Linked DNA regions of Mus musculus: region 2 is reported to be linked to region 1. Evidence: microRNA targets listed by miRTarBase, many of them from high-throughput screens and not tested one by one. Region 1 holds a microRNA gene; the other region holds the end of a gene's coding sequence.
What was found. The annotated mature microRNA mmu-miR-466p-3p reads AUACAUACACGCACACAUAAGA and lies in region 1 at 2,375-2,396, opposite strand. An mRNA with a match to its seed (bases 2 to 7 or 8) in the 3' UTR can be bound and repressed. Matches are read on the target gene's strand: a 7mer-m8 pairs with bases 2 to 8, a 7mer-A1 pairs with bases 2 to 7 and ends in A, and an 8mer does both.

Region 1 (7,050 bases):
ATGTACATGTACACACACATCAACACATACACACATACATAGGGGCAATCACATGAATGCCAGGATGACCTCTAACTCATCATGCCTTTACCATGAACTTGCACTCCTGATCTTCCCGACTCTACCAAGGGTTTTCCCGTGGTTTGTGAGACCTCACCCTGGCCCAGTCATACATAACCTCCAAAGCAGTAGGTCACATTTCATTCAAATGGATCCGTGAGGGCCATTCCCGCATGTCTGTGTGCATGTGTGTGTAGGTGTGTGTATGTATATGCATAAAATATACACGCATATACATGCAGGCACTTACGCACACAGGCACATACATAGGGGCCATCACATTAGTCCAGGATGATCTCTAACTGCTCATGAAGTTAAGCATGAAATTGAACTCCTGATCCTCCTGACACTGACAATTGTTTACACCTGGTGAGTGAGACCTTCACTGTCCTTCTACTTTATAATCAGCAAAATTCTAAGACATATATCATTCAAATGGATCAAAGAGTGTCATTCTTATGTGTGTGAGTGTGCATGCCTGTGTGTGTGAATACATTTGTATGTGTGTGTATTTATAAGTATGATCATATACACACATGTACGTGCACACACAATTATATGCACTTGTGCATACCTAGGGTCCATCACACAAAAACAGGGTGATCTCTAACTCATTATGAAGTTAAGCATGAATTTGAACTCCTGAGACTCCTAACTCTGGCAAGTGGTTTTCATCTGATAAGTGAGATTATTCACTATACCATGAATATACACTCAATGAAACTCTAAGCACGTATAAATCAAATGGATGACTGCCATGTGTGTTTGTGTGCACATATATGTGTCCCTAGTTGTGTGTATATATACATATGCATGTTCATATACGCGCATGTACAGGCATACTTCCCTATACACATAAACACAAACACAGGGAAAATCACATGAATTCCCGGCTGATCTCTAACTCATCATAAAGTTAAACATGAATTTGAACTACTCATCCTCATGATGCTGGCAAGAGTATTCACCTCCTAACTGATTAATAGCTCGGGCCATTCATGGGAGTATGTTTGCGTGTGAGTATATGCATATTCATATACAGAAGTGATTATGTACACAACTATACACACATGCACATTCTTGGTGGGCATCACATGAATCGCATGCTGAACTCTAACTCATCATGAAGTTAAACATGAATTTGAACTCCTCATCCTCCTGACACTGGCAAGAGTACTCACCTCCTGAGACATAGCTCTGGCCATTCCTATGAATGTGTGTGCATGTGTGTATATGCATATTCATATAGAGAAGTGAATATGCAGACAACTATACACACATGCACATTTTTGGTGGGCATAAGATGAATCCCATGCTGATCATGAACTCATCATGAAATTCAGCACAAATTTGAACTCCTGATCCACCTGACTCTGTCAAGGGACTTCACCTGCTGAGTGAGACCTCTCCCCATTCAGTAATGAGGAATCTTAAAACTCTAAGTCACACGTCATTCAAATGGATCGATGAGTTGCACTGATGTTTGTGTGTGTGTTTCTGTTTGTGTCTGTGTACATGTATATATTTGTGTAGATAGGAACATACATATACTCAAATCCACACAAAATATAAACAGATACAGATAGGGATACATAGGGGGCATCACATGAATCCCAGGCATATCTCTAAGTCATCATGAAGTAAAGCATGAATTAGAACTCCTGATCCACAATCTTTCACACCTGGTGAGTAAAACCGTTCACTGTCCCAGTACTGCATAATCTTTAAAACTTTAAGTCGCATATCATTCAAACGTATAAATGAATGCAATTTTTTTCTCTGTGTCTGTGCTTTCATATACACGTTTGTTTATGTTTTGTATATCATGTCAACAGATGCAATGCATATACAAGTAAACACATATGCACATACATGGATGGCCTCACATGAATACCAGGATGATCTCTAACTGAATTAAGCATGAAGTTGAAATCCTTATCCTCCTGACTTTGTCAATCTTTTACACCTGGTGGGTGAGACCATTCAATGTCCCCTATTGCATAATCTCTAAAACTCTACATCACTTATCATTCAAAGGGATTGGCGAATGCCATTCCTGTGTCTGTGTATGTGTGCTTGCGTTTATACGTGTGTGTGTGTATGTTATGTATATTCAAATATAGACATGAACATGCACACACAACTATACACACATGCACATACATGGAGGAATCACAGGCTGATCTCTCATGAGGATAAGTATGAATTTGAACTCCTGATACTCTTAACTCTAGCAAGCATTTTCACTCTAAGTCACTTATCACGCAAATGGATTGATGAGTGCCATTCCCATGTGTCTGTGTGCTCATATGTGTCTTATGTGTGCGTGTATGTATATGTATATCATATTCACACATGTACATGTACACACACATCAACACATACACATATTCATAGGGGCAATCACATGAATGCCAGGATGACCTCTAACTCATCATGCCTTTACCATGAACTTGCACTCCTGATCTTCCCGACTCTACCAAGGGTTTCCCGTGGTTTGTGAGACCTCACCCTGGCCAGTCATACATAACCTCCAAAGCAGTAGGTCACATATCATTCAAATGGATCCGTGAGGGCCATTCCCGCATGTCTGTGTGCATGTGTGTGTAGGTGTGTGTATGTATATGCATAAAATATACACGCATATACATGCAGGCACTTACGCACACAGGCACATACATAGGGGCCATCACATTATTCCAGGATGATCTCTAACTGCTCATGAAGTTAAGCATGAAATTGAACTCCTGATCCTCCTGACACTGTCAATTGTTTACACCTGGTGAGTGAGACCTTCACTGTCCTACTTTATAATCAGCAAAATTCTAAGACATATATCATTCAAATGGATCAATGAGTGTCATTCTTATTTGTGTGAGTGTGCATGCCTGTGTGTGTGACTACATTTGTATGTGTGTGTATTTATATGTATGATCATATAAACACATGTACGTGCACACAAAATTATATGCACTTGTGCATACCTAGGGTCCATCACACAAAAACAGGGTGATCTCTCACTCATTATGAAGTTAAGCATGAATTTGAACTCCTGAGACTCCTAACTCTGGCAAGTGGTTTTCATCTGATAAGAGAGATTTTTCCCTATACCATGAATATACACTCAATGAAACTCTAAGCACGTATAAATCAAAAGGATGACTGCCATGTGTGTTTGTGTGCACATGTATGTTTCCCTAGTTGTGTGTGTGTGTGTGTGTGTGTATATATATATATATATATATATATATATATATACATATATATATATATATATATGCATGTTCATATACGCGCATGTACACGCACACTTCACCTATACACATAAACACAAACACAGGGAAAATCACATGAATTCCGGGCTGATCTCTAACTCATCATAAAGTTAAACATGAATTTGAATTGCTCATCCTCATGATGCTGGCAAGAGTATTCACCTCCTAACTAAGTCATAGCTCGGGCCATTCGTGGGAGTATGTTTGCATGTGAGTATATGCATATTCATGTACAGAAGTGAATATGTACTCAACTATACACACATGCACATTCTTGGTGGGCATCACATGAATCGCATGCTGAACTCTAACTCATCATGAAGTTAAACATAAATTTGAATTCCTCATCCTGACACTGACAAGAGTGCTCACCTCCTAACTGAGACATAGCTCTGGCCATTCCTATGAATGTGTGTGCATGTGTGTATATGCATATTCATATAGAGAAGTGAATATGCACACAACTATACACACATGCACATTTTTGGTGGGCATAAGATGAATCCCATGCTGATCATGAACTCATCACAAAATTCAGCACGAATTTGAACTCCTGATCCACCTGACTCTGTCAAGGGATTTCTCCTGCTGAGTGAGACCTCTCCCCATTCAGTAATGAGGAATCTTAAAACTCTAAGTCACATATCATTCAAATGGATCGATGAGTTGCATTCATGTTTGTGTGTGTGTTACTGTTTGTGTCTGTGTACATGTATATATTTGTGTAGATAGGTACATCCATATACTCAAATCCACACACAATAGAAACAGATACAGATAGGGATACATAGGGGGCATCACATGAATCCCAGGCATATCTCTAAGTCATCATGAAGTAAAGCATGAATTAGAACTCCTGATCCACAATCTTTCACACCTGGTGAGTAAAACCATTCACTGTCCCACTACTGCATAATCTTGAAAACTTTAAGTCACGTATCATTCAAACGTATAAATGAATGCAATTTTTTCCTGTGTGTGTGTGCTTGCATATACACGTGTGTTTATGTTATGTATATCATGTCAACACATACAATGCACATACAAGTAAGCACACATGCACATACATGGGTTGCATGACATTAATACCAAGATGTCTCCAAATGAAGTTAAGCATGAATTTGCAATCCTTATCCTCCTGACTTTGTCAATCGTTTACACCTGGTGAGTGAGGACATTCAATGCCCCCTATTGCATAATCTCTAAAACTCTACATCACTTATCATTCAAAGGGATTGGCGAATGCCATTCCTGTGTCTGTGTATGTGTGCTTGCGTTTATACGTGTGTGTGTATGTTATGTATATTCAAATATAGACATGAACATGCACACACAACTATACACACATGCACATACATGGAGGAATCACAGGCTGATCTCTCATGAGGATAAGTATGAATTTGAACTCCTGATACTCTTAACTCTAGCAAGCATTTTCACTCTAAGTCACTTATCACTCAAATGGATTGATGAGTGCCATTCCCATGTGTCTGTGTGCTCATATGTGTCTTATGTGTGCGTGTATGTATATGTATATCATATTCACACATGTACATGTACACACACATCAACACATACACACATACATAGGGGCAATCACATGAATGCCAGGATGACCTCTAACTCATCATGCCTTTACCATGAACTTGCACTCCTGATCTTCTCGAATCTACCAAGGGTTTTCCTGTGGTTTGTGAGACCTCACCCTGGCCCAGTCATACATAACCTCCAAAGCAGTAGGTCACATTTCATTCAAATGGATCCGTGAGGGCCATTCCCGCATGTCTGTGTGCATGTGTGTGTAGGTGTGTGTATGTATATGCATAAAATATACACGCATATACATGCAGGCACTTACGCACACAGGCACATACATAGGGGCCATCACATTATTCCAGGATGATCTCTAACTGCTCATGAAGTTAAGCATGAAATTGAACTCCTGATCCTCCTGACACTGACAATTGTTTACACCTGGTGAGTGAGAATATTCACTGTCCCTCTACTTTATAATCAGCAAAATTCTAAGACATAAATCATTCAAATGGATCAATGAGTGTCATTCTTATGTGTGTGAGTGTGCATGCCTGTGTGTGTGAATACATTTGTATGTGTGTGTATTTATATGTATGATCATATACACACATGTACGTGCACACACAATTATATGCACTTGTGCATACCTAGGATCCATCACACAAATACAGGGTGATCTCTAACTCATTATGAAGTTAAGCATGAATTTGAACTCCTGAGACTTTTAACTCTGGCAAGTGGTTTTCATCTGATAAGTGACATTATTCCCTATACCATGAATATACACTCAATGAAACTCTAAGCACGTATAAATCAAATGGATGACTGCCATGTGTGTTTGTGTGCACATGAATGTGTCCCTAGTTGTGTGGGTGTATATATATATATATATATATATATATATATATATATATATATATATATATATGCATGTTCATATACGCGCATGTACAGGCATACTTCCCTATACACATAAACACAAACACAGGGAAAATCACATGAATTCCGGGCTGATCTCTAACTCATCATAAAGTTAAACATGAATTTGAACTGCTCATCCTCATGATGCTGGCAAGAGTATTCACCTCCTAACTGAGTCATAGCACGGGCCATTCGTGGGAGTATGTTTGCATGTGAGTATATGCATATTCATATACAGAAGTGAATATGTACACAACTATACACACCTGCACATTCTTGGTGGGCATCACATGAATCGCATGCTGAACTCTAACTCATCATGAAGTTAAACATGAATTTGAACTCCTCATCCTCCTGACACTGGCAAGAGTGCTCACCTCCTAACTGAGACATAGCTCTGGCCATTCCTATGAATGTGTGTGCATGTGTGTATATGCATATTCATATAGAGAAGTGAATATGCACACAACTATACACACATGTACATTTTGGTGGGCATAATATGAATCCCATGCTGATCATGAACTCATCATGAAATTCAGCACGAACTTGAACTCCTGATCCACCTGACTCTGTCAAGGGATTTCACCTACTGAGTGAGACCTCTCCCCATTCAGTACTGAAAAATCTTAAAACTCTAAGTCACATGTCATTCAAATGGATCGATGAGTTGCACTGATGTTTTTGTGTGTGTTTCTGTTTGTGTCTGTGTACATGTACATATTTGTGTAGATAGGTACATCCATATACTCAAATCCACACACAATAGAAACAGATACAGATAGGGATACATAGGGGACATCACATGAATCCCAGGCATATCTCTAAGTCATCATGAAGTAAAGCATGAATTAGAACTCCTGATCCACAATCTTTCACACCTGATGAGTAAAACCATTCACTGTCCCACTACTTCATAATCTTGAAAACTTTGAGTCACATGTCATTCAAACGTATAAATGAATGCAATTTTTTCCTGTGTGTGTGTGCTTGCATAAACACGTGTGTTTATGTTATGTATATCATGTCAACACATACAATGCACATACAAGTAAGCACACATGCACATACATGGGTTGCATGACATTAATACCAAGATGATCTCCAAATGAAGTTAAGCATGAATTTGCAATCCTTATCCTCCTGACTTTGTCAATCTTTTACACCTGGTGAGTGAGTCCATTCAATGTCCCCTATTGCATAATCTCTAAAACTCTACATCACTTATCATTCAAAGGGATTGGCGAATGCCATTCCT
Region 2 (7,149 bases), not on the chromosome of region 1:
AAGAGGCAGACAGGGTCAAAATGTCCCTCGTGGGTCAGCAGAACTGTGTTCTGAGCCAAAACCTGCTCCCTCCAACTCCCCTTTCCAGTCTGGGTCTAGGCCTTGCCCACCTTGCCCCAAACCACATGCTCCCTCATTTTCCTCATCTGCCCAGTAGCTGCCCCTCCCGGCTGTAACTCCAGTCACAGCCACATCATTTTTCACACGTGCAGCCTCATCTAACTGCCACACACACCCATGACTCTTCTGTTTAAACCCTCCCTCCATGGATCCCCTTGGCCTGGCTTGGCTTTCAGGATCTCTACCTTGGAAACTTCATCTCTTGTCTCCACAGTTAGATGGGCATTCATTCACACTGGTTCCCTTTTCTATCTAGTCAACCTCTCGGACATCCCTTCTTGGGGGCCTACTGGACTTCAGAAACTGAAGGCCTTTTCTATGTCTGAGTCTCCCTGTACCAGCCCATGCCTTCAACTAGCTTTTGCTTCTGCCCATCTGGGAAGAAAAGGGGGAGGCCTTCTTCTCAGTGTTGGCTCTCTCTGCCTCAGAGCTGTCCCCTGCAGCCCATCTCCATCTGCCCCCCTCTTCCCACTCTTTCCCAAGACCCTCCTGCCCTTCCCTGCTCTTTCTACTGAGTAAGTCCAGTTCCCCAGTCCTCACCCCTTTCCTGCAGGCATCAAACTGGACTTCAAGAGTCTCAAGGCTGTAGGCCCCTCCCTGGACCTCCTTCGGCAGCTGACTGAGGCTGGCAGGATTCGGAGACCAGTGTGGATCAATGCTGACATCCTGAGGGGCCCCAATGTGCCCATCTCAATTGAGATCAATGCTACCCAGTAAGTGTTCACCCTCTCCCCAGCTGAGTCCAGCCCTCTTCTGTCATCACTGAGCATAAAAAGGGACCTTGGGGGACCTTTGTGGCATTTGCCAGTCGCACCGTGAGACCTCACCTCTGAGCCTGCTCGTTTTGTTTTGGGCATTGATGCCGCCTGTGTGCTGCCGTGATAGTGTAGAAGTCAGAGATTAAGGACTTGGTTTTCTCTTTTCAGCATGTGGGTCCCGGGGCTTGAACTCAGGTTATGGGTCTCAGTGGCAAGCACCTTTTACCTGCTGAGCCTTCTCACCAACCACTTCTGCATTCGCATGCACTGTTCCCTCCTATCTTGGATGCCTGCTCCCTTTATGAGTGTGTGTTTAATGATTTATTTATCTTATGGACATTTGTGGGGTTTGCCTGTATGTACGTCTGTGTGAGGGTGTTGGATCCCTGAAAGTGGAGTCACAGAGAGCTGTGAGCTGCCATGTGGATGCTGAGAATTGAACCTGGGTCCTTGGAAGAACAGCCAGTGCTCTTAACCTCTGAGCCATCTCTCCAGCCCCATTCCTTTATGTGTTTTTTAGACACGGTTTATGTAGATCATGCTGGCCTCATACTTTCGGGGATCCTCTAGCTTTTGTCTCCTGGTACCAGATTTAGTTATAGGCCACTACTGTCTCTTGGTTTTGTGGTGGTGGTGGTTGGTGGTGGTGGTTGTTTTTTGCTTTGATTTGTTTACCTCTTTTGTTGGGGAGAGGATGAGACAAGTTCTCATGTAGCCCTACATAGCCTTGAACTCTGCATGCATGCGGTTCCTGCTGGACTTGAACTCTTGATCCTTTGTCCCCATCTCTGCTACACTTGGTGTACATCAGCATTCTGAATCCCCCCCACACACACACACTTGCTCTATTGAGTCTTTCCCCAGTCCCTGCCACTTCCAGAAGTGTCTCTAGCACCCCAGGTTCCTGAAGATCAGGTCCCCTCATGCCTGACTCAGTTGGACCATTTCTGCTGACTTACGTGTTAGTTACCCTTGCTCCATTGTGACCACATCCTCTCTGTCTCCCCAGTGACATGCACAGGACTTGGCCTGCTAGAAAGTTATAAAGCGATGCCTCCCCCGCCCCTCCAGTTCTCCAAAAGACCCAGCCCCTGACAGGCTAGGATATTTTTTTTCTCCCCATGTGAAAATTCACAATGACAGAAACATGCTGTTGAGTGGTTAGTGTACCCCAGGCACGGTTTCAAGCATTTTATTTGCAGAATACAGCTGAACTCTTAAGAGAATGAGGTAGCAACTAGTCATATTCATCTTGTAAGTATAGAAACTATCTTTGAAAGGTTAAATGAATGGTCTAAGTCTACAAAACGGCAGAGCAAAGGTTCCCACAGGTCTTTCCGTCCTCGAGTTTTGTGCTCTGCAGACACCTCCATCTGCCCGGCCAACATTTACTGATTCTCAAAATGAGTTATATTTGGAAAATGTAGGCTAGGGCCCAAGACAAACAAGGATTCTCTCCTCAGGGTACTGAGTTATATATCTGGGGGCCGAGCAGTGGGTGACATTAATTTCCTATTGAAAATTTGCATCAGAACAAAATTCAAATAACTCTTTTCAATGTGTTGCTTTGTGGCAGTTTCATGTAGCCTAGGCTAGCCCTGCACTTGCTATGTATCTGGGGATGAAGGAAGCCCTGAACCTCCTGCCTCCCACCCCCCAAGTGCTGAGATTATAGACATGTGGCACAGGCTCTTCTCATATGAAAAAAAAAATTAGGAATCTGAAACTTTGGAGACTCGAAGCCATCTGTCAGCATGCAGATCTGCACACCTTACAAGTCTCACTCAAGCCCCTCTGTCGATGTGGGGATGTTTAAAAGGCCCTGCCCTGACAGTCACTATCTTTGAGAATCAGATGGATCACCAGATGCAGAGTAGAGACCGGATCCCAGACCTCTCTGACTGCACAGGGTGGTGATATCAGCAGGAGGATGTACAAATCACTGCTGCTCTTTAGGGCTCTGATGTCAATCTCCAAGCTGAGTCTCAATAGGCCTGACTGTTCCTGTCGCTGTGGCAAGAGCCTACAAGAAGGGAAAGATGGGTATCTCTGCTCTGGTCTCTCTCTGCAGGTTTCTGACTCTTGTCCAGGAGAAATATCCAAAGGCCACCATTTCTCCAGGCTTTACCACTCTTTATGTGCCTCAGTTGCCAAACAGCACATACACCCAAGCCATGGTGGAAACAATGCAGGAGCTGGTCGGAGCGCTGCCACAGAAGGTCACCTTCCCAGTGAGAGCTGTCATGACACGGGCTGCTTGGCCCCACTTCAGCTGGCTTCTGAGCCAATCTGAGAGGTGAAACCCCTCTACTGGTCCCAAACCTATCCTGGGCTCTGCCCCAAGATGAACACGTCAAGAGGGGTCCTAAAGATCATCTTGTCCCAGTCCCACTGCCCTAACGACCTCCTATGCTCGGCCTCTGGCTTGTACTCTTCTGGGCACTGGCTGGTCACTGCTTCCATTGGTGGGTAACTCAGAAACAGACATCCCAGGGGTGCACATCCTCCTGCCCTCTGAACCTCCGCTCTCCATCATCCTCTGGTGGGAATCTAGAGAACAGATGCTCCACTCCTGGGCTCAGCTGGCATTCAGTTCTGAGCGCACAAGTAGAGCCAAGAGTCAGGCGGGCCCTGAGTCAGCTCTCTGGTTCCAGGTACAGCCTAACACTGTGGCAGGGTGCCTCAGACCCCGTGTCAGTAGAAGATCTCCTCTTCATCCGGGACAACAGTGCCGCTCACCAAATCTACTATGACCTCTTTGAGCCTGTCTTGTCGCAGTTTAAGCAGCTGGCCTGTAAGAAGGGAGCCTGGGAGGGGAATTGTGGGCTGTGTTCTGCTCAGGGCAGCCTTGGGTGGGCATGGAAGCGGAGAAAGGGTGGTCTAGATGGGGAAAATTCTGCGTGGAACAGGAGACAGGAGCTATTCTGAGAATTTGTCTTCTGCCCCTGGGATATTATGTTATCCAAGCGATGTCCTCAGAACAGGAGTCTGGTTGATAGAGAGGGCAATGGAAGTCCAAAACCACAAGGATTTTGTAGGAGTGCAATCTGATCACAACCTAGCCAAGTCTCACACACACACATACACACACACACACACACACACACACACACATACATACACACACATACACACACACATGCACGCACTCGAGTGCCCTGGCTTCCACAGCACCATTCACCTTTGGCAATAGGGTCTCAAGCACAGCCCTCTTACGTGCCCACTAGTTCATGAGCCAGATGCCACTATGCCCTGTTCTCTTGACCCTGTGTCTAGGGGCATCTACACTTAAGTCATCCCAAGGAGTCACATCAGATTCCACTCCTATTGAGGGAGTTGTGCCTGGGAAAGGGAGGAGACAAGCTTTGGAGCCCCCTCCCCTCATCTCTAGCTCTGTTTGGTTTCTGGCCCAGTAAATTCTGTTGAATGTCAGGCCATGAGACAATGACTTCCAATCTACCCAAAAGGGAGAAGTGACAGCCACAGGGCTTAGGATGCGGGAGAGCCAGTGCATACACAAGGCAATTTGTGGAGAGTGGTCCCTTCACATTGGCAATTTTGGGTCCCACAGTGAACACCACCCGGAAGCGAACCTACTACACAGGTGGCAGCCTGATCCCTCTTCTCCAGCAGCCCAAGGGTGATGGTCTGGAGGTAGAGTGGCTAGTTCTGGAAGTGAATGGCAGTGGGAGAAGAGCAGCCATTACAGTTCCTGGTGAGTCTGCCTGCAGCTCTAAAGCTCCTGGCTACCCTCACCCACAGGTCTGTCATTTGCTTGGGTGGGTAACTTGATTCTCTGTTACCATGGCAACACAATAAGCCACACACTGGATACAAAGTGGGAGGAATAATGTCAAGAGCAGGAACTCCTGGTCTTCACAGCCTTGAGTCCTCAGCCACACTGTGACTAGAGGAGTGGGGAGTGATTAGGAAGGCCAAGAATGGAGGCCAGCAATTTGTCATGCCTGCCTGAGAGTCACCAGTCACAGCACTTGGAGCCTGGGATGGAGCTGGCAAACTCAAGAATGGCTGGTGCCTCTTGATCTATCCCCATGACATGCCCCCATGTATGTCCCCTTTAACAAAAAACACTGACGTCCCATGATGACAGGATCTCCAAACTGTTGCCTCTTCCAGACAGAGAAGGCATGATCTTGCTGGACATTGGCCTCCAGGAACCTGAGGCTGGGAACCCTGTACCCATCCTACACACCCCAGGTGGCCCTGCTCTGACACTGGAGTCGTGTCTGCTGCGTCTGGCTGTTCACCCCAGGCGCTGGGGCATCCATGTGAACATAGTGGAACCCGAAGCTCTCCGGCCATCCCTGGCCACGTTAGCACACCTTTCTACCCTTGGCCATCTGCCCTGGCCTGTGTGGGTGGGGTCCACAGTCTCACATGGTAGTTTTGTGGTCCCTGGCCACATAGCTGGCAGAGAGCTGCTCACAGCTGTGGCTGAAGTCTTCCCCCATGTGACCGTGGCACCGGGCTGGCCCGAAGAGATGCTGGACAGTGGTTATCAGGAGCAGATGGTCACAGATATGCTGGAGCTGTGTCAGGGACTCCGGCAACCTGTGTCCTTCCAGCTGCAGGCTGGGCCACTGAGTCAGAGTCCAGCCAACACTGTGGCCAGGCTCCTGGCCTCCTCCCCTAGAGCCACTGTCACAGTGTACCACAGCACTGCTGGGAACAGCCATGTGGATTTGTGGGCTGGATTGTGGGCGGCCAGGGCCGTGGACAGGACCCGAGTCTATTACAGGATATCCCAGGAGTACTGGAAAGACTTGCAGGCAGATGTGAGCAGCAACCGACCATCCAGTAGGATTGGACCATCTAGTGTGGAAGGCTTCCCTGGGGAGTCAAGGTGAATAAATGTCTCTGCTTTGTTCCACGCACTGTGTAAGACCTGGGGCAGCATGGGTGGTGTCTAGAGGGTCTGGAGGCTGGGAGCTAGGTCATTCCGGTTGTCCAACAGAAAACTCTCACAAGCCTTGAAAGTGTTGTAGAATTCTGAGGACAGGCCGGACACATTGGTGGTCACATAGTTGAGAAAGCCGGGGGTGGCCTGGTTGTAGTAAGAAACCTGCAGGACAGGAAGTCAAGTTCAAGGAGGCATAATGGGGAGGTGAGAGTCAGCAGCCTTGCTTGCCTTCTGGGGAAGCAACAGATACAACCTTGTATCTTGATCAGTTAGAAAACCTGAGTGATAGACCTAGCCTCTTTTGATAGGTCCCCCAGATACACAGGGAACTTCAACTCTGACTGCCCTATCACAGCAAACCATAAGGTCACTGTACACCTCCCTGCTGACTAGGTGGCCCCAAGGGGACAGGAATTGACTCTAATACCTACACCTGAATCCACTTTATAACAGTGCTGGGAGGGTGGGGTGTCACAGAAACGTGGTAGACATAAGCCTTGGACTATGTCCTTTGTGTAGGTCCTTAGCAATGCTGGCCGAGTCAGCACCTGGGCAAGGCTGCAAGGAAAACTGCATGCCAGGGGAACTGCAGCATACCTGCCCCCAGCTCTGCTCTACCTTTCCAATTAACTCTGACTCCCCTGCTGAGCCTTCTATGCCCTCAAAGCCACATAAAGCCCTCCCAGACGAAAAGGGAGACACATTAAACAAACAATGGCAGAATTTTAGATCAGAGCTGGGCTTTCTGTAGTGTGTCCAGAGCTTTTCCCAAGCCCCAATAGCAGTTTGCTCTCTGACCACACTCAAGCTCCAGACGAGCTCCTTTCAGACTGCAAAGTCTGGGGGGTCATGGGGGTTCGGGTCTGGAAGGGCCCAGCCGAACAGCGTAGAGTTCAGTTTATCCATAGGTGGAAGTATAGAGGGGACATCACGTCTTACCTTAGTCATCTGGTCCCCCTCACGCCACAGACAGAAGCCTGAACAGAGAGTCTCCCCACGTTGGTATTCCGGTGTCTCATGGTGCGTGGGCAGCGTGACCGACCTCAGGGCAATGACATAGGGGTCCCTGGAAGAGAGGCAGAGTTAGAAGGGATCAGAGATCATCCAGAGGAGGATGCCTTGCTGGGGGTCAGCTGTAGGAAGGGGACATCTGTGTTAGCAGCATCAGGTTCAGGCTCCCTGTGAACCCATGGACTGTGTACCTTGGGGTTTTCATTCTTCTGGCCTTTGTCTCCAGAAAAAAAGATGCAGTCTACCCTGGCTGCGCCCATGTCTCAGGTAACAGCCACAAGCTTCCAGAGGGCAGAGACCAAGGGATACCCATGGGAAAGGCACTCGTGTCTGTGGCAA

Region 2: the mRNA of Acot11 is a reported target of mmu-miR-466p-3p. Seed matches in the 3' UTR shown: 7mer-m8 at 3,993-3,999.

The regions. Positions count from the first base shown.
Region 1 is chr2:10,491,666-10,498,715 of GRCm38, reverse strand. Mir466b-7 (microRNA 466b-7) reads right to left here and starts at 2,448; the gene lies at 2,361-2,448. All of the region lies in intron 10 of Sfmbt2 (Scm-like with four mbt domains 2), which reads right to left. Mir467a-7 (microRNA 467a-7) reads right to left here and starts at 5,206; the gene lies at 5,124-5,206. Mir466b-6 (microRNA 466b-6) reads right to left here and starts at 4,918; the gene lies at 4,829-4,918. It also overlaps Mir669a-9, Mir467a-8, Mir669p-2, Mir467a-9 and Mir466b-2.
Region 2 is chr4:106,742,524-106,749,672 of GRCm38, forward strand. Acot11 (acyl-CoA thioesterase 11) reads right to left here. Exons shown (of 16, transcript NM_025590.4): 15 at 6,739-6,865; 16 at 2,038-5,961. The coding sequence ends at 5,806. Fam151a (family with sequence simliarity 151, member A) reads left to right here. Exons shown (of 8, transcript NM_146149.1): 4 at 674-833; 5 at 2,950-3,174; 6 at 3,533-3,672; 7 at 4,450-4,593; 8 at 5,016-5,769. The coding sequence ends at 5,746. Among named protein-coding and RNA genes, the nearest start is that of Fam151a, 12 kb to the left of the region's middle.